Arabidopsis thaliana: one gene and its partners. The protein of the gene in region 3 interacts with the protein of the main gene of each other region in a pairwise test. Each region holds a gene or a part of one and is shown on either strand. Other genes may lie near its edges.

What was found.
Region 1: the proteins of AT3G59740 (region 3) and AT4G37445 interact in a protein complementation assay, tested with the Arabidopsis thaliana proteins (one large-scale study listed by BioGRID).
Region 2: the proteins of AT3G59740 (region 3) and AT4G01410 interact in a protein complementation assay, tested with the Arabidopsis thaliana proteins (one large-scale study listed by BioGRID).
Region 4: the proteins of AT3G59740 (region 3) and HHP4 interact in a protein complementation assay, tested with the Arabidopsis thaliana proteins (one large-scale study listed by BioGRID).

What each region holds. Positions count from the first base shown.
Region 1 is NC_003075.7:17,602,193-17,607,916, forward strand, and holds AT4G37445 (calcium ion-binding protein), read right to left. Parts: upstream 2,753-5,724; 5' UTR 2,727-2,752; coding exon 2,696-2,726; intron 2,606-2,695; exon of another isoform or gene 2,587-2,605; coding exon 2,472-2,586; intron 2,379-2,471; coding exon 2,318-2,378; intron 2,231-2,317; coding exon 1,952-2,230; 3' UTR 1,902-1,951; downstream 1-1,901. Other genes in the region: AT4G37440 (uncharacterized protein), read left to right, coding at 354-670, 776-829, 920-1,398, 1,472-1,654; AGP18 (arabinogalactan protein 18), read right to left, coding at 3,734-3,820, 4,000-4,749.
Region 2 is NC_003075.7:575,815-581,562, reverse strand, and holds AT4G01410 (Late embryogenesis abundant (LEA) hydroxyproline-rich glycoprotein family), read right to left. Parts: upstream 3,536-5,748; 5' UTR 3,256-3,535; coding exon 2,572-3,255; 3' UTR 2,276-2,571; downstream 1-2,275. Other genes in the region: CBL5 (calcineurin B-like protein 5), read left to right, coding at 45-120, 244-326, 474-533, 607-715, 844-896, 984-1,064, 1,150-1,262, 1,489-1,525; AT4G01400 (oligomeric golgi complex subunit-like protein), read left to right, coding at 4,320-5,720.
Region 3 is NC_003074.8:22,065,267-22,072,162, forward strand, and holds AT3G59740 (Concanavalin A-like lectin protein kinase family protein), read right to left. Parts: upstream 3,793-6,896; coding exon 1,813-3,792; 3' UTR 1,721-1,812; downstream 1-1,720. Other genes in the region: AT3G59730 (Concanavalin A-like lectin protein kinase family protein), read right to left, coding at 1-613; AT3G59750 (Concanavalin A-like lectin protein kinase family protein), read right to left, coding at 4,589-6,031, 6,118-6,555; OASC (O-acetylserine (thiol) lyase), read right to left, coding at 6,853-6,867.
Region 4 is NC_003075.7:17,697,888-17,704,835, forward strand, and holds HHP4 (heptahelical protein 4), read left to right. Parts: upstream 1-2,746; 5' UTR 2,747-2,998; intron 2,999-3,098; exon of another isoform or gene 3,099-3,119; 5' UTR 3,120-3,328; coding exon 3,329-3,594; intron 3,595-3,686; coding exon 3,687-3,939; intron 3,940-4,027; coding exon 4,028-4,681; 3' UTR 4,682-5,065; downstream 5,066-6,948. Other genes in the region: NAGS2 (N-acetyl-l-glutamate synthase 2), read right to left, coding at 1-189, 299-386, 584-949; AT4G37682 (hypothetical protein (DUF1399)), read left to right, coding at 5,574-5,632, 5,716-5,755, 5,829-5,957. UniProt on the Arabidopsis thaliana protein: May play a role in abiotic stress response.

The DNA of each region.
Region 1 (5,724 bases), on a different chromosome or scaffold from region 3:
TTTAATTGAACACTATCAGTTCCATCTCTATGTTGCTGGATTCTTAAAAGACTGAAATTTAGGAGTTACTTGGGTTCCTGTACTAATGAGAAAAACGTCTGTAGCTTAATTTGGTGTTGTAGATTTTCATGGATTTGGTAGCCTTGTTTACTGTTACTTATTATTGAACACTATCAGTTCCATCTATGTGTTGTTTGATTGATTCTGAAAGGACTTAAATTTGTGTGTTACTTTACTACGACTTAGCTAGCTGCGTCTTTGATTTATCTCCTTTTAAGGAAGTCAGGAGAAGAATTGCTCTATATCGTGAATGGTATGCGGTAATTATTATGGTTTGTTCCTTTTTATGGCAGAAAAAGGAAGCTGACTGATCATTGGAGGAGGTTTGTACAGCCTACTTTAATGTGGCGTTGCAAATGGATTGAACTCAAATACAAAGAACTTCAGAACCAAGCACAGAAGTACGACAAAGAAGTTGAAGAATATTACCAAGCCAAGAAGTTGGAGTTAGAAAATGTCAAATCAGAAGAACTTGGAGTAAAGGCTTTACCTCCTCTTCCATGTTATACTCAGAAAACCCGACTCATGAAGAGGAAAACGAGAAAGCGAGTTGAAGAGACCGCTGATGTTACATCCTATGCATCAAACCATAATCTCTTCTCTTATTATGGTATGGAACTAGTTTGGTGTTCTTGTCTTTCTGGTCGTGATTAATGTTCATCTACCATTACTTGTCTAATAATTTCTTATCTTATTGTTTCTGATCTTTGTATAGATTGTCGGAAATCTTTGGCCGATATTGCTCTTAATGACAACTCCCGCAACCTAGGTATGGTGTTCTAAAATCTCAACTATGATATGATATTACTCCTTTTGAAAACTTTGATCTTATAAAATATTTTCTGTCTTGGGTCATCAGATAAGAAGAATAAGAGCGCCAAGGATGAGACAGCTTTCTCTGAAGAGACACCGCCTCTCGAGTTTAGAGAAGGCGATGCGTACTTGGAACAGATACTTTTGAAAATTGAAGCAGCAAAGTCAGAAGCCCGTAACTTGAAGATCCGCGTAGACAAGGTTTTGAGTGAAAATCCAAGTATATTCCCTCTGGCTAACACAGTGAATCCACTTGGAGCTGCTGATGTATACACCAGCTCAGAACAACAAAAGCCCCTGCTGGCTATCAAAAACGAAGATGAGAAATCGATCATCTCTGAAGAAAAACCGGTGAAATCTGCTTCAGTTTCATCTCATCACGTCTCACCTGAAGACGACGAGACAACAGATATTTTACTGTCTGAGATTCTAGCATCAAAGCGAAGGGAAGGGAAATCTATTATTCCCGATAAGAATCTAGTGAAGACAGAACAAGCTTCAATTGAGGAAGGTCCATCAAGACCTGTAAGTTTTCCGCTAACTCAGTGTAACTTTGCTAAACCCTTTTGGTCTCATATGCCATTCTAACACAACGCAGGTAAGGAAAAGAACACCGCGCAATCGTGAAATCATTACGAAGGAAGAGAGTAACCCAAAGAGGCGTCGGGTTTCAAGAGAGAAGCCAAAGTCTAATGCTGTGATGGCTTCTAGGTTTTCCAACAGGAAGAGAAAGCGAGGAAAACGAAGGTCAGGCTCTGCCGGGTTACGAAGAAGATCCTGAAGAAGGTTTGGAAACTTTCAAGTAACTAATCGGATCTTGTGTTAAAAAGTAAAAATTGTTCATTCTAAGATATTCTTAACTCTTAAGCCTTTAAAGTACAAAGAAATATTTATAGTGGCTGTGTTTTGATTCTTCATGTCAACAATATATTCAAACTACATCAACTTTTGAACTTTACTTCTATAATTTAGAGTGTATATATTTTTCTCTATTTTGTATTATCAATCAATCATGTTTTATATCTTGTCGGTGCTAAGTTTTTTTTGTTTGGAAAAGAAAGAAAGCTTAGTTAAAACACTATTTCAAATACATTCGTCTAGAGAGTTTGGCAGAGACAATGGCTAAAATGGTGACCGTAGGGACGAATATAACATCAGGTATAAGTTTGATTAATTTTAACTGAGGAACATTCTCTCCTGCTCTCTTAGCCGCCATTGCCGCCGGTGGAGATACTATTCCGGTGATCATAGTGACATCATCGAGTTTACTTGGCTTCACGCTCTTTGACATGAACTCAATGAACAATTTTTTCTTCTCTTCTTCGTCTTTCGCTTCCTTCCACCGCGCGAAACAAACCTGTTTAGATCATTCAACATTGTGTTAAAAATATAGAGAAATTATTATAAGATTCTTTGTGTGATTTTGATAGAGGAGAGGACTCACCTTTATTTGGTCCGGGGTTGGGAAATCGAAGTGCCTGCCTGGTAAAGCCGAGTTGAAGTTGCTGCACTCAATAGATAAAATTCCTTTTAAAAAAAAAAATGTTGGCCAACATAACCATTGTTTTCGAATGATCAAATAATGAAACAATCCTTACTTAAAGATGTCTAAAACAGCAACGTGGAAATCGTCGAAGTTGTTGATAGCTTTTTGGGTAAATTGTTTGTAGAGTGAACCCATTACCATATTCATCATCTGCGTCGGTGGTACCCCTAGGCCAAATATCGAAATCTATTTAGAAAGATATATAGGACGAAAATTTGTCAAAACGGTTATATAACGATTTGAGTCGATAATTGTTAGGTTAAAAAATTGCAAAACCTTTTCCGAGAAAGCCCATTGAACTACCCATATTGTCTAGAAGTTAGTCTTTAGGAAGAAGAAAATGTTATGTTTATATACAAATTTGTATTGGTGTGTGGAATCAGAGACTTGGCTTGGTGGGTTTGTGTCTTTGCAAAGCCAAGAATCTTGAATCTCTACACAAGACCTTGGTTCAAGTATAACTTGTGCTTTACTTACAAAATCTTAGCCATTTCTTCACAGTTGAGTAATGTACTTTTAATAAAAGCATGGGGAATATGACTTGTCCTCTATTCTCACTTTCTTTTTGCCTACCATATTAGATATCCATTAATTTTTTTCTTTTTCAAATCTAGTTCTCTAAGGAACAAGACAAAAATATGAATCTAGCTATTTGAAAGGTACAATAAAAAGCATTGTATTATATGATTGGTTGGATCTATACATGTTTAGTAATAAATTTTAGACAATTCATTTATAGCAACTTGGCCACTTGAGTTGGGTATCAGATATGAATTCAATAAATATTTACCAACTTCACATTATAAAAGACTAAGATCCAACTAAGTAGCTGACACTTTCATTCTCGCATAATTATACTCCAATTGTAAATATTTGTTTAAAGAAACACATGTAATTGGTTTCAAACGTAAATATCAACATTTGATTTACTAACACTTTAAACATTTAAAAGACTAAAACAAATTATGTAACTGCTTTGCTTATTGTTACATAGACGTTACTTACACAAACATTTTATTTTAGAGTAAATGTCCATAATTCTGCATTAAAATTGAATGTGTCATTTTCAATAAAGAACTCGGACCCATCACTAAAGGACTTTTGTCTGCAAAAGAAAAGAACAATCAATGTGTAAAACAGTATTTTCATCACTGACAGATATGAATTCTTATTATTTCCATATAAATAAAATAAAAGAAAACAAACTGTATAATCAATTAAATAATACTCATTACCAAATTCGTAAAGAAAGAGACAATGGTAGGGTCAAAAATATAAAAACTAAAAAATATCAGAGGTGAAATGATAAATAATTTAGAATGCCATAACGAGAACGGCCCATGCGGTTGCAACCGCTCCCACCGCTACATTCCTCAACACCCTTGTGCTCGCTGCTCCGCTCTGCATTCAATTCCATATTTTCATTTTAGTTAATCGAATATGTAATTACTAAATCAATATAACAAAAATTGAAAATCTATGTTCACTGTTTTGAAATGTCTCATTGGTTATTTTTAACATTGATACTCGAACTTGTGACGGTAGATAAATATCAACATTGTTGATATAAGCTAATGTACCTGATCGTCGGCGGAAGGACCGGGAGAAAAAGCGTCGGAGTTAGGTCCGGGAGATTCAGTCGGTGGTGCAGGTGGACCGAGAAGTTCCGGAGCCGGAGCAGGTGCAGCTTGATGCTTTTTCGATTTCTTTGTAGTCTTCTTATGCTTGCTTGGAGCAGGAGCCGGTACATCAGCAACCGGAGCGGCTACCGGAGCTGGAGGAGAATCAGCTACTGGTGCTGGAACCGGTGGAGAGCTCACTGGAGAAGAAACCATTGGTGCAGGAACCGGAGGAGAGCTCTCTGGAACAGGTGTCGGTGGTGGAGACGACTCGCTAACAGGAGCCGGAGATTTTGGTGACTCAACCGGTGAAGAAGCCGAAGCAGTTGGAGTTTTCGCCGGAGCCGTAGTGGGAGAAGTAACGGCGGGGGATTTAGTAGGGGAAGTAGTTGGAGCAGAAGGAGTGGTGGGAGATTTGGTCGGAGAAGAGATAGGAGATTGGCCACCGACACCGGCGACGACAATGCAGATCAATGTAACTGTTAGGAGGAAATTGCGATCCATAATTTTGTTAAAATTTGGATCAAACAAAAAAAAAAAAAAGAGTTTGAACTTTGAAGTGATGGTTAAAGTACTGATGGAGTTTAACCAAGCGTGTTGTTTGTTTGATGTAAGAGAAGTGAGTTTTATATAGGCGATGAGGAGAGATCTGGATCGTTGGATTAAAAAAGGATCACAGACAGATGTAGCCGTTGAGAAACAGAACATCATATCCTGTATCTATTAATGTAGGATTCAATACTTTTTTCATTTTTATTTTACAGAATAGCTCTTTTACTTTTTTCTTGTGCGTTTTTATAAGGATTTTTTTTTCTTGGCATTTTTCTCCTGTTATATTCTGCAATAAATTTATTCGCCAATGGTGGGTAGATTAGCATGTGTTTTGTTGAACATATGATCAGATATAGAAAATCAATTAATAGTAATTGTTTTTACGTTAGACATTAAATTGGTTATACTATAAATCACTAGTCTTGTGTCAACATAATAATTGGATTTGAAATTGATACCAATGTCGCTCACAAATTTTATCATTGTTTAATAATTATGATATTTTATATTATAGATTATATCACACGGTCGAGAAATTTCCAACTACTAAATTGTCGGGAAATTATTAGTTAAAAAAATAGCACAATATAAGGTACATAGTATAATTGAGATAAATTTTTGGGGTACGACACATGGAGTCTTGGATTAGTATTATTATGTGATCATCACGGGTGAAATTATTATGACTTGATGCATCATGCGTCTATAAATAAATAACCTTAATAATGAAAAATGATTAAACTCAAGTTCAATATAATGCAATCAAAATAAGACAAGGAGAATGAGGAAAAGAAAACGTAAACAAAAAAAAAGAGAGTCTTTGATCGGAAGTTAGAGGGAGAGGACAGCTGGTTGATTGATTTTGCCACTTTGGATTGGTGCCCACACGGATTTGTTGGCACTTTCTTCTATTTTGGCTCGTTTTAATCTATAATTTGTTGCCACCGTCACCGTAATTGCCTGAATACTCTTTGGCCTTTTTTCATTCGAGTCGAAATGGAATCAAAACCGTTGCCAATGAAGAAACGTATTGCTTAGGAGCTACGATTTTGATTTCTTTTTGTTGCTTCTCACTTTGTTCCAATCCTTCTTTCAATGACTTTATGTAGAATATTGAAAAGTATTCATAAGCGT
Region 2 (5,748 bases), on a different chromosome or scaffold from region 3:
ACTTAAATGTATGTGGAATTTGAAATATATATTGATATAGTAAAATGGGATGTGTTTGCAGCAAGCAATTAGAAGGAAGAAGGCAAGAAGACATTTCGCTTCTTGCTTCTCAAACCTTTTGTAAGTTACGTCTACTTCAATCATCCACCACTTCCTCCTCCTATATATTATATTGCATGGAGAAAGAATATTATTACACGAGCTTGTAGATCAGATAACATCTAAATTGTTTTGGGTTTGCAGTTAGCGAGGCTGAGGTTGAAGTTTTGCATGGATTGTTCATCAAACTCACTTCTTGTCTTAGCAACGACAATCTTTTGACCAAAGTTAGAGTCCAAACTAATTTTTCTTCCACAATGTGAATAATTTTTTTTTGGTCAACAAAATGTGAATAATATAACATCTAAATTTTATACTAGCTAGTTATAGAAAAGTTGTGCTTTTGTCATGTCAAATTTGGTTGGCTTTTCCAGGAAAAATTTCAATTTATCTTGATCAAGAATACCAAAAAGCGCAGTCTTTCTGCAGAACGGGTAATTGAATTTGTTATATTAAGCGAAATAAATAAATAAACTTCGATTGATGTTGTTTCTCTGAAATATGCAGATTTTTGGATTATTCGATATGAGAAACGATGGGGCTATAGATTTTGGAGAGTTTGTACACACACTCAACATTTTTCACCCAAACTCATCACCAAGAGATAAGGCCATATGTATGCTTCATCACTTCTAATGTGTTTATTCATTTATTCCATGTTATTATTATTTTCTATATAGCTAGAGATCAATGTTATTAACTATAACCACAAATACATCTGATCACTTGTTTAAAATTAAACAGTTGCATTTAGATTATACGATACTCGTGAGACTGGATTCATTGAACCGGAGGAGGTACGTATGTAAACTTTGTCTCAAAAAAAAGAAAAAGTCATGATTAATTATATTTGACGGTTTTCCTCGACTTGGAGAAATCTATAGGTGAAAGAGATGATAATAGACGTTCTAGAGGAATCAGAACTTATGCTATCCGAGAGTATCATTGATTCTATCGTGTCTAAGGTGTGTATAACGCTTAAGTTTATGAGCTTGATTTAACATTATAGTGATTTTACTTACTATTTTTGTTTACTTATATTTGGCAAAGACATTTGAAGAGGCCGATTGGAAAAAAGATGGGATAATAGATTTGGAAGAATGGGAGAATTTTGTTGCCACCTATCCTTTGACACTAAAGAACATGACTATCCCTTTCTTGAAGTAATTCGTTTGTTTGTTTTTCCTAACCATTTTCTTAATATTCGCTGATAAATTGCATGTTTTAGATACATCTTTCGTTTTACAAAAAAAGTAATATATATACATCTTTCAAAAACAGCTTTTATATATGTGTGTTTATGCATATATTACTATTATCTTCTTTTATTTTATTTTTCTTGTTTTATAAATCGAGATAATTATTCTAAAATTAACTTTTATTGTACAGGGACATTCCGAGGATTTTCCCAACCTTTCTCCGGTAAAATCAGATGAGGTGTTTGCTAGAGGTTTTTGTTTAAAAATATTTTTATCCGAAAATCACATAGGTAATTTGTTATAAGAAATATAGAAGGTTAATTATTATATAAACATATTAACTATCGAAAGAAATCTTTAATATTTAACGAGGATAGAAAGTAATTGTTTTTAACCACAAAGCTAAAGCTGTGATATGAAAACTTAAAAGCAAAGATCGGTTCGTGAAGACAAAATGGGGTTTTGGAAAAGGAAAAGAGGAAAAAGAAAAAGAACAAACGTGTGAAAATTCGAGAAAAATGGTAACACAAAAAGAAATTGGACATGATATAAGTTGCCAAAACCAAAGAGAAAAAATTGACATGATATACCAATCAAATTTTTGAATCAGGTCAACTAATCAAATTCACAACAATCATCCACAATATTATTTAGATTTGACGCTTTCACTGTTTCACATGAAAATTTTACATTTGACGCGATGACTTGTGGAGTCACGATCATTTTAGTCACTCGTTTTAAACGGATGCTTCATTCAAAAAATGTAACTTATATTCAGAAGACTCCTAACGTCCGATTCAGATTTACAAAAAAACAATATCATTGAATCGGAAAACAGAAAAGCATAGTAATATTCTAAGTATTTAATTATAATCGTGAGGAAATAGTTCCGTAATAATGGGGGAAAAATATATATATGATAAAACCAAAATGAGATTTGCCTGAAGATGCCATATGTCTGATCAAACACTCTGAGCTGTTGTGTCGATGAACTCACCATATGCCAAGATACGCTATTAGCGACAACACATTTGTATTGTCAAATGTCATTAATTAACATCCACAGGTCCAACAACAGAGAAACAAAATAATTATCACAAGTAAAATATAAAATTAGTAATATACTTGTACTTATAATTTTTGGCTTATGCCTTTTAATTTATTTTAACACTAGACTCGACGAAACTCATCACTAACATGACCACAAAAAAAAAAGATTACAATTCTAAAACACAAAGATTAAAAAAGAAAACATAACGAAGTAAAATTAAGACTAGACATCAACTTTACAAGTTGAAGGAGCGAGAAGAGGAACTTGTCCGTTAGAAGATGGATTAAATCTCAACCACACATCACATCTGGCGTAAAATCCATACCGTCCAGTCTTAATCGCACCAGCTTTCCAACGTAGCCTCCCAAAAATCACCACTCTCATCAAAACGACGCCGTAAGCTTCATCATTTTTTAAACCATTAGCTACTTCCGGCGAGACTGGTATACCGTTGCCTCCCATCACCGGAGCTATCACAACCGTAGATTTATGTCCTAAACGAAGCGGTGGTAGTGGAAGCGGCGGTGTTATGATCTGATCTTTGTACGTTACGTACATAGAGAGCTTGTCGTAGTGAATGGAGACTCTCCGGTTAGGGTTTCTTGCTAAAACGCTGAACTGAACGGAGGTTGAGATTAACGGCGGCGCTGTGAAATTCAGGTCGTAGATGGCGGCTCCGACGACGGTGAGACGTGGTTTATGTGGACGGTAGACGAGCCAAAGGATTAAGGCTATGATACCTAGTATGACAAGGATGGTGAAGATCGCGCCGCAGATTGCGCGGCGAGCATCTCCACCGCCTCCTCCGCCTTCTTTAGAGTAAGATTCTGGCGTTGAAGAAGCGGAGGGAGCGTTCTTGTGATCTGCTTTGGCTGCGTGCTCTGCTTTTGCTTCTCCTTCTCCCATGGCTATACTCTACAGATATAAGTGTTAAAGTGTGTATGTATAGGTATGTGTGTGTCTATACGAGAATCAGAGGGTTCGGTGAAGAGTGAAGACTCTAAAGAAGGAGGAGGAGAAGAAAGAAGATAAGTAGATGCAAGGTTTTGTCTCTTTTCTAGTTAATAAGAGTAAACAGTCTTCTAGAGTACAGTTTTATTAATTGTTTATTAACTTAGAAAGCTTGTAGTTGTAATTATGTGTTAAAGCTAATCTTTTTATAAAGTAGCCGTAAATTACTACTGTTTTTACATTGTGATTTTATTTTGTTATAATACTTAATGTAATAATATAAGATAGAGAAGTACTTTCGAAAGACTCCAAATCTCGGTGCAACCGTTCACGTGACGGATCTGATGAGTGATGAATTTTTTAAAAATGAAAAATCCAATGTAACGTGTATACATATGGCTATACATAATCAAATACTTTGTTGTCAATGATTGACTTATTTGGTGACAACTATGGTTTCGTGCAACGTGATAACTATCACTTTTTGGCCGTGTTAATTTTTAAAAAAATTAGAATGAAATTTATCAGGTTACGGCCTGTCAAAGTTAGCAATAACCTAATATCTGTTTGCATGCCAGAATACGGTTATGTAGAAAGAAAATTAAATTATCATATTTCACAATTCTTTATCAACTGTATAAAGCAATTAATAATAAATTAATTAGATACCACATGTGTCATATTTGTTCTAATGTTTAGAAAATAAAAGTACAAGTCTTTTATGTCCACATCTCCAACAATACTTCTGACCAAATTCCATATATTATTAGTAAGCTTCCAAAATAAATAATAATCACATTTAAGAAGAATCTGTTATTTAATCACACTAACTGAGATACCGCACCACCGACACTGTAGTCACCGACAATGCTGTGGATGCTACCTGGGCCTCAATTATAAGCCCATTATAAAATTGGGCCTACACTAAAACTATTGTGTACAGAGAGATATTTGATAATTTGCTGACTGATACAAGTCTCACTTCCAACGGCCGATTTATTAAAAAAAAACTCCGACAAATGATTCGCCGGCCGATCTACGACTTCGCCGCCGTTTTTCGCCACTTAACTTCTCCGTTATCGACATCCTCGCGTTTTCTGTTCTATTCTTCATCTGAACATGAAGCTCGAAAACCGATTGTCTCGAACCCTAAATCCCCAATCGGGTCTCCGACTCGGGTTCAAAAGCTCATAGCTTCGCAATCGGATCCTCTCCTCGCCAAGGAGATTTTCGATTATGCTTCTCAACAGCCCAATTTCCGCCATTCTCGATCTTCTCATCTAATCCTCATTCTCAAACTCGGCCGTGGTAGATATTTCAATCTTATCGACGACGTTCTCGCCAAACACAGATCAAGTGGTTATCCATTAACCGGAGAAATTTTCACTTATCTGATCAAAGTCTACGCAGAAGCAAAGTTACCGGAGAAAGTCTTAAGTACGTTTTACAAAATGCTGGAGTTCAATTTCACGCCGCAGCCAAAACATCTGAATCGGATTCTAGATGTTCTCGTAAGCCATAGAGGTTATCTCCAGAAAGCTTTTGAGCTTTTCAAGAGTTCACGGCTTCATGGAGTAATGCCTAACACGAGAAGTTACAATTTATTGATGCAAGCTTTTTGTTTGAATGATGATTTGAGTATTGCATACCAACTGTTTGGTAAAATGCTTGAGAGAGATGTTGTCCCTGATGTGGATTCTTATAAGATTCTGATACAAGGGTTTTGTAGGAAAGGTCAAGTGAATGGTGCTATGGAATTACTTGATGATATGTTGAATAAAGGATTCGTGCCTGATAGGTTAAGTTACACGACATTGTTGAACAGTTTGTGTAGGAAGACACAGCTTAGAGAGGCTTATAAGCTTCTATGTAGGATGAAGTTAAAAGGTTGTAATCCTGATCTTGTTCATTACAACACGATGATTCTCGGGTTTTGTAGAGAAGATCGTGCGATGGATGCTAGGAAAGTTCTTGATGATATGTTGTCTAACGGTTGCTCGCCTAATTCGGTCTCGTATAGGACTTTGATTGGAGGATTGTGTGATCAAGGAATGTTTGATGAAGGGAAGAAGTATCTAGAAGAGATGATATCCAAAGGGTTTTCTCCTCATTTCTCGGTTTCAAATTGTTTGGTAAAAGGGTTTTGTAGCTTCGGGAAAGTCGAAGAAGCTTGTGATGTTGTAGAGGTTGTGATGAAGAACGGAGAAACATTGCATTCAGACACTTGGGAGATGGTAATTCCATTAATCTGTAATGAAGATGAGTCGGAGAAGATCAAACTGTTTCTTGAAGATGCTGTAAAGGAAGAAATAACCGGTGATACCAGAATCGTTGATGTCGGTATCGGTTTAGGATCTTACCTTTCTAGTAAGCTACAGATGAAACGTAAAAATGCTAGAGAGAGGAGGAGACATTTATAGGTTCCTCCTGATCCTGAAAAGCTGTAGA
Region 3 (6,896 bases):
GAACAAGAAACTCAGCAGGGCATAAGGTAACATCGAGCTTTGTATCCGGATGACTATAAACGATCGAAAGCCGCATTAACTTTCCGCTGATCAAAGAAAGATTTTTGAAACTTCCATCATTATCATCATAGTAACCAGCAGAAGCAGAGGCAACAGATCTCAAGCCATTAATGTTAATCCCAACATGGTTATCATCAATATCTTCAAACTCTTCGTCTTTATGTATATCTAACTCTATAGCTATCACGTGATTCGAAGTTTTACCGTTGTTTGTTTTGTTGAATAATCCGAGGTACTGATCGGAGGAAGCTCCGGGAAGGCCTCTTGTAGGAGAAAAAGCGAAAGTCATACCGTGAGAGCCTTGCTGCTTATGCTCAGGGACAATAGCGAAGAAGAAGTTGATGGAGAAAGACTGGTCCTTCATTTCAAATGTTGTGTTGTCAAAAGCTTGACCGTAGGAATGCTTCGTGGTGTTCGTTAAAACCAAGTAACTATTTTCGTTGAAAACTGCAGATCCATCCAGGATATATGTGCCATGGGAGTTGTAAGTAAATGAAAACAGAGTAAGCCACTGAACAAGAACTATTTGTAAGACTTTGACTTCACTAAACATGTTCTTGTTCGTTTTTTTTTTTTGGCTTATGGGAAGGTTTTGATCGTAATGTGATATTTATCAGAAGAATTATGTAAGAAGATACAACATAAAAATAAGTAAAACTGTATGAATATGATCAAGCCAATATAATGTGAACGAAACTGGTCATGTCATAAACATATGTAGTTTGTATTTAATTACCCACATGGCCTAGATGATCAAACCGCAACACAATAAACAAATAATCTTCTGATCATTTTTCAATTAATAATAGCAATTATTGTGGGATTGTCAGAGTGTAGAAGCGGACCCATGTTAGGTTTGCAAACCTATTTTACTACTGAAATTTTGCTATATTGGTTATGAGATTATGACATCCTATTTGCTTTTTGTATTTTTTTTCTTCTTTTTACAAAACATTATTGTTAATTATTCTCTTGAATCTCTTCTTATCGTTCCATTAATGTGTTGATTAGTCTTAGGACTTAAACTATTGTTATTGTTGCTGTTTACCTATTGCTGTTAATTATTTATCTAATGAATATTCATGTTATATGCGGCCAACGAACTAAGATAAGTAAGCAAACTTAAGAGAGAAAAAACACATGTACACTATTTAGTAATTACGCACTGTGCATGGCCAAGATAAAGTCGTAAATCAATTATAAGAAAACAAATCTTCTAATTCTTGCTAAGATTAAATAGCGATTATAGTGGAAAGCATAATAAGCAATAATCAAAAAAACTTTTCTTCTCAGATCTCTACCAAAGAAATAAAAAGGTCAAAAAAGCTTCTCTTATCTTTTCTACAACCTAATCCGTCGAACATTACGGAGCGTAGAAATGGATAAACAATGTAAGTTTAACAACCAACGTGTTGACCATAAAATGTAAAAAAAATAAGTTTTTTGACATGTTTTAATGTAAAGTTTAACAGATTTTGTATTGGTCTACAGAAAAAAAAAAGTTAATTAAGTTATAAGTCATTGCTCTTGAAAATTTGGTTTTATAAACAAATTCGAACAAGATTACTTTGAAAGCAAGAATGAAACAAACATATTATAACCCTAAAAGTAAACCCTAGAAATTTAGGGATGAATTGGAAGGCATTCATGATTCAAAGATACAGAAACATGTACTCATTTATCAAATAGACGGATACAGAAGCTCCCGATGGAATATAAATGTTTGATCAAAACTAACTTATTTTTATGGTTTCAGCGTCCATGGGACACAAAAGAATTCGTCAACGTCATTGTACCAAAAGAATTCAGATCAAGACCAAGTAGTACTTCCATTGATGTCTCAGGAATTCCTCTCAATCTCTCAGCCCTAACAACATCAAGAAGATTATTGGGAAGATGCGAAACGCCATTCAAGATCTGCAAAACCGCACTCATGTTCGGTCTAATCAATTCAGTGTGATGTGCACACAACAGACCTAGCTTCAAAACAAGCTCAATTTCTCCTCTGTTTTGTTCTTGACGAATACTTTCCTCAGCTGCATCGAAAAGTTTCCCACTTTCCCAAAGCTCTAAAATCCAATCAACAAGAACCGCTTCATTTTCTGCTGCACGTCTCTCAATCAATCTTCTACCACAAACGACTTCAAGCATAACCAACCCAAAGGCGTAAACATCTGTGCTTGTGGTTGCTCTTCCTGTTCTTAAGAGCTCAGGTGCAATATAACCTAATGTTCCCGCTACTCTAGATGTCTGAGGATCAAATCCCTGATCATACAGCTTCGCCAATCCGAAATCCCCGAGCCTCGCATTCATGCCGTGGTCGAGTAGAACATTAGCCGGTTTTATATCTCGATGAACGATGACTTGTACCCATTCTTGATGCAGGTGTAGTAGAGCAGTTGCAACGTCTTTGATGATCTTGAAACGTTGTTCCCAAGTAAGCCGTTCTTGATTTTCATTCGTGTTGCTACGGGTTAGACACCTGTCAAGGCTTCCATTAGGCATAAAGTCATAAACTAAGTAGAGATTCTCTTTATGCTTACAATATCCCAAAAGCCTGACTAGATTTGGATGTCTGAGACGACCAATGGTCGATATCTCGGCTAGAAATTCGCTCATCCCTTGTCTTGAATCATGAGAAGTCCGTTTTACAGCGATCTCTGCATCGGAACCCGGAAGCATTCCTTTGTAGACTTGACCAAAGCCTCCTTTCCCAAGAAGTTGTTTCTCTTTGAAACCCTTTGTGGCATTGAAAAGCTCCTTATAAGAAAACCTATGAGGTCCATTCTGAATCTCCCATTCTTCAAGAACCTCCTTAACCTTCTTATGCCTCACATAAAAGACAAAACCTATTCCGGAAGCGACTAATGCAGTGAACACGGCCAACGTTAAGCAGACCGCTAAAATCCTCCGTGTTCTATCATACGACTTCTTTGGATATGGAGGAAGGGTTGGGATTACGCCAAGGTCCCATGCTGGATATATAACTCCTTCTTCATAGGAAAATTGCATCACATAATAGAGTGCTCCGATCGACCCGGTCGATGCCGTGAAACCCAAGTACGTCTCCTCCAAAAAATAGGGCGAGAGATCTCGGTTCAAAGACAAGAGCGATTTTTGTGGCGGAACAGAGATTTCAGCAGGTAATAAAGTAACATTGAGCTGTTTATCGGTGTGACTATAAACGATGGAAAGCCTCATTACCTTTGTGCTGATCAAAGAAAGCTTTTTGAAGTTTCCATCTTCATCATCATAGTAACCAGCAGAAGCAGAGGCAACAGATGTCAAACCATTAATGTTAATCCCAACATGATTATCATCAATATCTCCAAACTCTTCGTCTTTTCGTATATCTAACTCGATAGCTATAACGTTATTCGAGGCTTTACCGTTGTTTGTCTCGTTAAAGATTCCCAGGTATTGATCGGGGGAAGCTCCGGGAAGGCCTCTTGTAGGAGAGAAAACGAAAGCCATACCGTGTGAACCTTGCTGCTTATGTTCAGGGACGATCCCGAAGATGATGTTGAATGAGAAAGATGAGTTCTTGATGGGAACGGGAGTGTTGTTGAAAGCTTGACCGTAGGAATGCTTCGTGGTGTTTGTTAAAAGGCAATAACCGTTTAAACCTGCAGCTGCAGCTTCTTCCATGAGGAAGTTGCCATTGGAGTTGTGAGTAGATGAAAACAGAGTAAGCAACAGAACGAGAACTATTTGTAAGACTTTATGAGACATGTTCTTGTTTGTTATTTTTTGGCTTATGGGAAGGTTATGATCTTAATGTAATATTTATCATCTCATAAGAATTACGGTCGAAAATAATGGGAACCCAACGTTCTTTTTTTCTTTTTATTTTTGTTATTCTTCGTTAGTAATAAAAAAACATATGTATTTAAGCACATGAGCTAGATCAAGTCGTAAAGCAATTATAGTGGGACTGGTAGAGCGTGTCGTCAAAAGACAGAACTTTTCTACGATCTTAATACTTTGAAGTATTAAATTACTAATAACAACAGTGTGAAAAGCATAATTAAAAAGCAGCAATCCAACAAAGCTATTTTTCCACAACCATTTTGTAGAAAAAACAACGTATGTTTAACATTTTTAATTTAGTGTAGATTCTAACAAATTCTCTACTGGTCTGAAGGCAAAAGTGAAGTTATATGTCACTAATTTGTCATGGTTTGATCATTATATATTGAGATTAATCCTATGTAGTGTAACAACATCAAAGTAGTTTAGAATGTTTTTGGTTATATGTCACTGATTTGGCAATTCACGCCATTTTGTTTTGACGCCATTGCTCTTGAAAGTTCGGTTTCTTAAACAAATCCAACAAGAAAACTTTGAAAGCAGAAAATACAAAACATATTATATGTTGAGTCCTAAAAATTTAAGATATAAGAACTTGGGGATGAAACGGAAGGCTTTACTGATTCAAGATAAAGAAACCCTAATGTAGTGATTCATCAAATAGACGATACAAAAGCTTGAATGTAACTGTTCATTCAAACTAACTTCTTTAACGGTTTCAGCGTCCATGGGACAAGAAAGAATTTGTTAATGTCATTGTACCAACTGAATACAGATTAAGACCAAGTAGTACTTCGATTGATGTTTCAGGCATTCCTCTCAAGTTCTCAGCTCTTACGACATCAAGAAGATTATCTGGAAGCTGCGAAACGCCATTCAAGATCTGCATAACCGCACTCATGTTCGGTCTAATCAGTTCAGTGTGATGTGCACACAACAGACCTAGCTTCAAAAGAAGCTCGATTTCTCCCCTGTTTTGTTCTTGACGGATACTTTCCTCAGCTGCATCGAAAAGTTTCCCACTTTCCCAAAGCTCTAAGATCCAATCCACAAGAACTTCTTCATTTTCCGGTGCACGTCGCTCAATCATTCTTCTACCACAAACAACTTCAAGCATTACCAACCCAAAGGCATAAACATCAGTGCTTGTGGTCGCTCTTCCTGTTCTTAGGAGCTCAGGTGCGATATAACCAAATGTTCCCGCTACTCTAGATGTCTGAGGGTCAAGTCCCTGATCATACAGCTTTGCCAATCCGAAATCCCCGATCCTTGCATTCATTTCGTGGTCGATTAGGACATTAGCTGGTTTGATATCTCTATGAATGATGATTTGTACCCATTCTTGATGCAGGTGTAGTAGAGCAGATGCAACATCTTTGATGATCTTGAAACGTTGTTCCCAAGTGAGCCGTTCTTGATTCTCATTACGGTCTAGATACTTGTCAAGGCTTCCATTGGGCGTAAAGTCATAAACCAAGTAGAGATTCTCCTTATGCCTACAATATCCCAGAAGCCTGACTAGATTTGGATGCCTGAGACGACCAATGGTCGATATCTCGGCTAGAAACTCGCTCATGCCTTGTCTTGAATCATGAGAAGTCCGTTTTACAGCGATCTCTGCATTGGAACCCGGGAGCGTTCCTTTAAAGACTTGACCAAAGCCTCCTTTTCCAAGAAGTTGTTTCTCCTTGAAATCCTTTGTGGCATTGAGAAGCTCCTTATAGGCAAACCTATGAGGTCCATATTGAATCTCCCATTCCTCAAGAACCTCCTTAACCTTCTTATGCCTCGTATAGAAGACAAAACAGATTCCCGAGGCGACAAACACAGCGAACACAGCAAGCGTTAAGCAGACCGCTAAAATCTTCTTTGTTCTGTCAGACGATTTCTTCGGATATGGAGGAAGGGTTGGGACTACGATGAACTCCCATGTTGGATTCTCAACTTTTGGAGTAGCGTACGAACTCAACATATAATGAAATGCTCCAATGGATCCAGTCGATGCCGTGTAGCCATAATACATCTCCTCCAAAAAATACGGGGAGAGATCTCGATTCAAAGACAGCAGTGGTTTCCGTGGCGGAACAGGGATCTCAGCCGGGAATAAAGTAACATTGAGCTGTTGATCAGGATGACTATAAACGATAGAAAGCCGCATTACCTTTCCGCTGATCAAAGAAAGATTTCTGAAGATTCCATCTTTATCATCATAGTAACCAGCAGAAGCAGAAACAACAGATGTCAAACCATTGCAACATGATTATCATCAATATCTCCGAACTCTTGGTCTTTTTGTATATCTAACTCGATAGCTATAACGTGGTTTGATGATTTACCGTTGGTTGTTTCATTGAATAATCCGAGGTACTGATCGGAGGAAGCTCCTGGAAGGCCTGCTGTAGGAGAGATAACGAAAGACATGCCATGTGAACCGGACTGTGTATGCTCAGGTACTATTCCAAAGAGGAAGTGGAAGCTGAAAGACGAATCTTTTATGGGAATGGATTCGTTGTTGAAAGTTTGACCGCAGGAATGCTTCTTGGTGTTCGTTAAAATGGTGTCACCAATGGAGTTGTCAGCTGCAGAGCCCTCCAGGGTCCAGTTTCCATTGGAGTTGTAAGTAGATGAAGACAGAGTATAGAGCAGAACAAGAACTATATGCAAGACTTTGAGTTCACTAGGCATGTTAGGATTTTTTTTGTTTTTGCTTATGGGAAGAAATTGATCATATGAGATATTTTTATCATCTCATTGAGAGTTAAGTAAGAGTATAAAAGAATTCCAAACTGCAAAAGTAGGGTCGAACAAAATGGAAACGAACGTTCACATGGATTTCCGCGTTGTTCATATTAAAAATTTATGTATTTACACACACATGGGGCCTAAACCAAGTCGTAAAGCAATTAAGATAATAATCTTCCAATCTTCATTGGATTCAAAGCAATTATCGTGGGATTGGTAGAGCGTGTCCTAATCCTAATATTAACCGCTGACTCTCTGAGCATTAGAAAATATATGGATCAAAA
Region 4 (6,948 bases), on a different chromosome or scaffold from region 3:
CGGTATCAACCCTAACACCTATATCATGTAAACGACTACGATCACCATGTCTACGGATATTGCAAATAGAAGGTCCAGGAGATAATTTGGCCTCAAGCATCACTGATATTGCTCCTGCAGCTTCTTTAGCAGCCTGCAAAGATGCTGCATCCGTTACTCTGTAACGTCCCACATACGTAGCCTCGCGTCCTGCAACTCACACAGCATTAGACTCGTAGCTAACCAAACCATTTACTTGACGCTAGCAAGGTTTATAGTCTAGAATCTAACATCGTGACAAAGCTTATAATATTCTGACCTCTCTCAGCCAGAAGCTGGTCGATTTGCTCCTGAGTTCCAGGAACTAAAACAAACCTTATTCCTAGATGATGAAGAAACGCTATGTCCTGCACATATATCAAATCACTTCACCTTCTACTCAAATACGAGAACTGAAAACTCAAGCACATTGCAAAGAAAAGATCATATAACAAAGCAAAATAAGAATAGTAACAACTTTAGTTGAGGCAAGCAAACAATCGAACACCTTGCGTGCTTTTTTCTCATAAATCAAAGTATATAATACGGTGAAGAAAGACGGTACCTTCAAAATGGCATCACAAGAAGAGCCGGCGATGATCTCGCCGGAGATAATAACGACGAATGTGCAGCCACGGTGAGCCCAAAGATAAGGCCATGCTTCACGGAACCAACGCACAAACTGTTTGTCGTCAACTGGATGCTCAGCCTCCACATCGCCGGCTGCAGTCACCGCGTAGTCAAACATATTGCATTTCGCCGCCGTTATAGAACTAACCGGCTTAAACCATGAACAGTTAAACCGGAATTGAGTAGGGTTTAGCTTATTTTTTGGTTTGAATGACGAAAAATTCGACTTTGATTGGCGAAAGTGGTAAGGAACATAGTAGCTAGAAGTAGAAGAAGAACCCACTAAAGCTCCTCGCTCCATCTTCCTTAGACTTCGATGAGAGAAAGAATTCAAATAAATACTAAATTGTTATTGTAACTAAACCGGCAGGTGACGGCTGATTACGGTCGGAGAAGGCGGCAGTAGTACCGTAGTGGGACCCACGGTAAGTAGGTATTTTATTTATTGTTTATTTTTCCATATTTTCTTCAATAGTCTTTTTCTATTATTATTTATTGTTTATTTTTCCATATTTTCTTCAATAGTCTTTTTCTATTATTATTTATTGTTTATTTTTCCATATTTTCTTCTTTAGTCTTTCTCTATTACTATTTGACGGAACTCTTTGAATGTCTGGTCGTTACAAGCTTAAGTTGTGTCCCCACATGGAAGTTATTCGGTTGGGTCCATCGAAGGAAAATTGATTGAACCGGTCTGGTCATTCTCTCCCAAACTATAGAACCAATTTCGGTCTGCATCGGAGTTTCGAAGTCGCGGACTTATCAGAGTGGGCTTTTTAAGGAATGTTTTTAGAATATTTACCAGCCCAATCCCATTTTAAGTATGTCCAGATCTTAATTTGGCGAGCCTTTTTATATATGGTGAACAACTGATTCTAATGTGTATGTTTCACTTTTATTAGAGAAAAAATGTGAAAAGATTTAATGTGTATGTTTCACTTTTATTAGAGAAAAAATGTGAAAAGATTCTTAAAAGTATTTATTTATGCTAATTGGCAAAACTAAAACATCAATTTATGTACATCATTTTAGTTCTTCCTCTAAGATTTGATTGATTTGTATTAATGGCTCTGAATACTGATACTAGTTTCGTTGGCAAGTAAGATAAGTGATAACTTTGATAAAGAGTGTCAAATTACAAGTGCCACAATTTGGAGTACGTAACCAAATTGACATAAAACTTGAATAGGTGAAAAAACGAGCCAGAAAAAAAACGAATATCTTCTGCTTATCCGAATAAAACGAAAGTAATATTCTTACAAGATCCTTCCTTATGAAGTAGTGCCAGTAGATATTTTTATCATTGTGATTGCGACCTGTTTGTTGCGATTCATTTATGCCAATTCACGTTACTATTTATGTTGTGATAAAATCTTTTATTTTTCTTCTTCTTTCCAAATACTTAAGTATGCATGATTATTGATCCGTACAAGCATAAACGAAGAGCTATAAAGTCTCCAACGGTAAACGTACGTGAACCAAAATAACAATTCAATATTATGGTTCGAATTATTCTGTGTATTTTATGTAAGAAAATAACCAAAACCGACTCGAAACAAAACAAAAAAATCTTCTGAAATGTGAATCTTTATTTCGGAAAATTCTTAACGATAGATAGTTTTTGCTTTAAAATTAAATCCAAACATAAACTAGAACTGAAATTCAATTCGTTGTCAATATTTTCTATACAAAAAAAAAAAAGAAATCCGACCAAATAAACAAAACCATAAATAGACATCTCCATTTTTAGTTGAAAGATGATTAAATGCAATAAATGTGCCACAATCATAAATTTTTCCTTTTCACCTAATTGAAAATTTTAATCATTAATAAGAAGAATCCATGGAGCACAATTATTTTATTTTTTATTTTTTGCTCTCATATGGTATGTTAAATTAATTTTCCCTTAATTTAAATTCCCCATATCAAATAAGTTTTTTTTTTTTTGAGAAAGACTTGATTTCATAGGAGAAATATTTGTTAATATTTTCGACAAAACATTTTCTCTGTTTGATGTATTTCCATCCTCGTACAATAAATACTCTAGCTATTAAATTCTTAGCCCAAACGAAAATAAAGAAAAATAAAAGGGTCCTACTAATAAACAAAACAAAACTAGTGGTCCCAATTTGAAATATATAAAAATATATAAAATTCATAAAGCTTTGTGGCTTCAGAGCTTCCACTTCCATCGTCGTCTTCTATTTTTTCTTCTTTCTTCGATTTCATACCAAAACAAGAACTCTCTGTTTTCGACAAAAACGAAACCTTGAGATCTATTTTGATTGACTTTTAAGAAAGAGAGAGATCTTTCTTAGAAGATTTTGTCTCGTCGGCATTGAAGATCCAGGTAACAAAATCTCACCTTTTCTCTCCTAATTTCACGAAATCGAAGAAAAATTCTCATAATTCTCTTAATTACTTATCTCTCAATTTCTTAAATCTTACAGGGTTTGTCTTTCGAAATTCAGGTAATTTTCTCAAATCCATTTATGGATTGAAGCTTTAGGTAATGAATGAGCTGAATCTGCATATAAAAATCGATACTTTCATTATCCAGAACAAAACAAGATTTAGCATAAACGTTCAAAATTGAAACTTTGATTCCTAACTTCTTGGAATGATTCAGATTGAGCTAGATTTAGATCTGTATGATTGATATTATGGGTTTGGTTTGTTTATGAGTAGAGAGAAAATGGGTGATGAGGCAGAGATCAAGGAACATTTAAAGCCACAAGCTTCATCTGAAACAATGGACAAGAAACATAATGTGAAAGGGAAGAGGTTATGGCAGAAAGTCAAGTATCAATTGGTGGAGTTTCATTCATTGCCTGCTTATTTAAGAGACAATGAGTACATCATTGGTCATTACCGATCCGAATGGCCGATCAAACAGATTCTTCTCAGCATCTTTACCATTCATAATGAGACTTTGAATGTTTGGACGTAAGTGTTGAATCATGTTTCTTGATGTATCCTTGTTTAAAGTTCAAGAGCCTTGAGTGTGTTTGTGTGTGTGTGTTCTTTGGGATTTGCAGGCACTTGATTGGGTTTTTCCTGTTTTTGGCGCTCACTATATACACTGCAACGAAAGTACCGAGTGTCGTGGATCTTCATTCGCTTCAACACCGTTTACCCGATTTGTTGAGGAAAACAGATCTCCACAAACTTCATTCTGAGCTCATGGCTCGCCTTCCTTCTAGTCCATCTAGTTGGCATGTGATGGACCTTCTTTATAACTGTTTGCCTGAAAGATTTTCTCATGGCAACTACACTGACATGTGTGTTCTGGTAAGAAAAGACTCAATCTTTCTCTCTATTCCTGCAGATTACTGTTTCAAAATGTGGCCAAGTTCATATCTTTGTAATTGCATTGCAGCATTCTGTGAGGGAAGATCTTGCAAACTTGATAGCTCCTTTGATCTTCAGGCCAATTACTCGATGGCCGTTTTATGCATTTCTAGGTGGTGCTATGTTCTGTCTATTAGCAAGCAGCACGTGCCACCTCCTCTCATGTCACTCCGAGCGAGTCTCCTACATAATGCTTAGGCTTGATTACGCCGGCATCGCAGCTCTAATAGCGACTTCCTTCTACCCTCCGGTTTATTACTCCTTCATGTGTGATCCTTTCTTCTGCAACCTCTACTTAGGATTCATAACCATCTTAGGAATCGCCACTGTGCTTGTTTCTCTCCTCCCGGTTTTCCAAAGCCCGGAGTTTCGGGTGGTGAGGGCGTCTCTGTTCTTTGGAATGGGATTCTCTGGCTTAGCTCCGATTCTTCACAAGCTGATAATCTTTTGGGACCAACCTGAAGCCCTTCACACGACAGGTTATGAGATTTTGATGGGTTTGCTTTATGGGTTAGGAGCTCTGGTTTATGCAACTAGGATCCCAGAGAGATGGATGCCGGGTAAATTCGATATAGCAGGACATAGCCATCAGTTGTTTCATGTTCTGGTTGTTGCTGGTGCGTTCACGCACTATAGAGCTGGGCTAGTGTATCTTAAGTGGAGAGATATTGAAGGATGTTGAAGATGAAGATTGAAGATTAGATGGAATCTTTGAATCTTGTTTGTAGTAGCTTCATATAAAAGTTGGATTATGTAAAGTCTTATATGTAATCAAACGTTTAATTGTTTCCTTTATTCAACAAAGGATTTATATTGTTAATCCACATATGTATTACTGGTTAAAGAAGCTGAAGGATTCATATTTTTAGATGATTCCAGTCTTGATTGCAGCATTCAAAGTATCATAATCCAGTGTCAACCTCATATAGCCTCCTTGTGAACCTGACACAAGCCTAATTGTTCCATGGCAGAGGATACTTTGATTCTGATCTTCTTCTTGAAGGTTTCCCCTGATTGGTATACATTTCGAATGATCCATAAGTGTTGATAAACTACAAGTACACAAAATATGAAACAAAATCTATGCACATCAATAAAAATTCAGAAATCAATAAAATTTACTCTGAAAATGCAGAACATTTATAAGTGTTTGTTATTGTTTTCAATATATGAGAGGAGGAGCTCCCCTACTATTTTTATATTTTTAGCCAATGAGAGAGCTCCACTTCATACCCCACTTTTACCAATCGTGCTATTTCACAGCCACTCTCACTCATGTCGCGTTGAGCGCGTGTCTACGATTTCTAAAGGGGTTAATCCACAAAAATCATGCATTTTTGGATCCACGCACCTCATTCTCAAAAACCCATCGCGTGTCGTATTTTTTTTGGTTTTCTTCTCTAAACCAAATTAAACCGAACCGAGATCAATTTGAATTTCAAAACCAATGTAAACCCATCGCTGTGAAAACAAAAAGCTCGGCCACTGTAACAACAAAAATGGAGACGACACAACTTGGAAGAGAAATCAACTCGAAATAGCCAAGAGAATGTTCGTAAACCCCCTCAAATCCGATGCTTCCTTTGATTCCAACCTCCAAAAGCCCATCTGCTCAAACGAGGAGTATTACAAGGTACCTCTATAGAACAAGTATTCACTTCCATTCCCTTACTTGTGTTAGTTCAGCGCTTGAGAAATATTATGATCTTGTTTCAGACTTTCAGCTGTCAAGAGACAAGGCCCGTTTTACTATCAGGTAAAATCATGGTCAGCTTCTTGTCCCAAACCACATTGTTGTAATCGAATTTGTTTGTGTGTCTTTGTTGCAGGTTTCAAGAGCTCATGTAGATAATGATGACGTCTTTCTGCAAGAAGCTCTGGCTAGATACAAAGCATTTCTTATAATTTTGGTTTTCTCGATAAGAGAGGAAGTTGTTGTTTTTGTTGTCTACTCTTGAAGCTTGATCTGGTTTGAAATTCATGTTCAAAAGAAGAGAAGAGGCTGTTTCTCAAGTGGTTGACGAGAAATAGATTGTGTTTTGTCTTCTCTGTTTAGAAGAATGCCTGCTTGGTTAAAAGAGGTGATGATTGAGATTGATCTCAGTTGAGGAGCGTGGAGTTTTTGCTTGGGTTAATAAGCACCTTTGGTCTGTGTTGATTGTGTGTTTCCTAGCTTCAATTTATCCTTGGATGAAACACATAATCAACATGAGGGAAAAGAACTAGCATCATAATGATGAATATGAAGATTGGCTAAGAATGAGAAGAAGATGAAGTGGCGTTTATCAACTCTGTCTTTGTTAATTTGGAGTTGCTATTTAGCTTGGATTTTAGTTCTGAAAGATGTTCTGAAAACCTGAAAGCAAGATCTTTCCAATGATATAAAGATCGCGTTCTGGTTCCTTGTGGATTGTTTGGAAATTGTTCTTAAAGTTGGTCTCTCGCAGGTCGACATGTTTTTGGATCTGTCGTGGATTTTGGCCATAACTTTCAAACCATAAACTCAAATCCAGATCCGTTTTCTCCTATGGCTTCGTATGATTGATGTTGTTACTGCAACCAATCCTTAGAATTTACTGGGTTAGTTTGCTGCTTTGTTTGTGTTCTGCATCAAAACAGATTGAATCTTCTTTTGTGGTCTATGAAGTTTACATATCAAGAGAGGATGAATCAGTTCTGCTTTTCAAACCATGGTGTATGCTTCAGTGTGGAGAAGTATTTGTGACCTATGAAGAAGAGAAAAAGAAGTCTGAAGCAGATTTCTAGGAGAAAGTGTTTTAATAGAAGACAGAAGAGTTGTGAATTGGATGAAGTTGTTTTTGTTTGTCTGACTGTGTCTTCTTCGTTTGACTTGGCTATGGACCTTGGATTTGAGCATTTAAAGCTGTTCTAGAATCTTGGAAACGAGATCTTTCCAAGGGTACAAAGATTTTTGTCTGATTCCGTGTT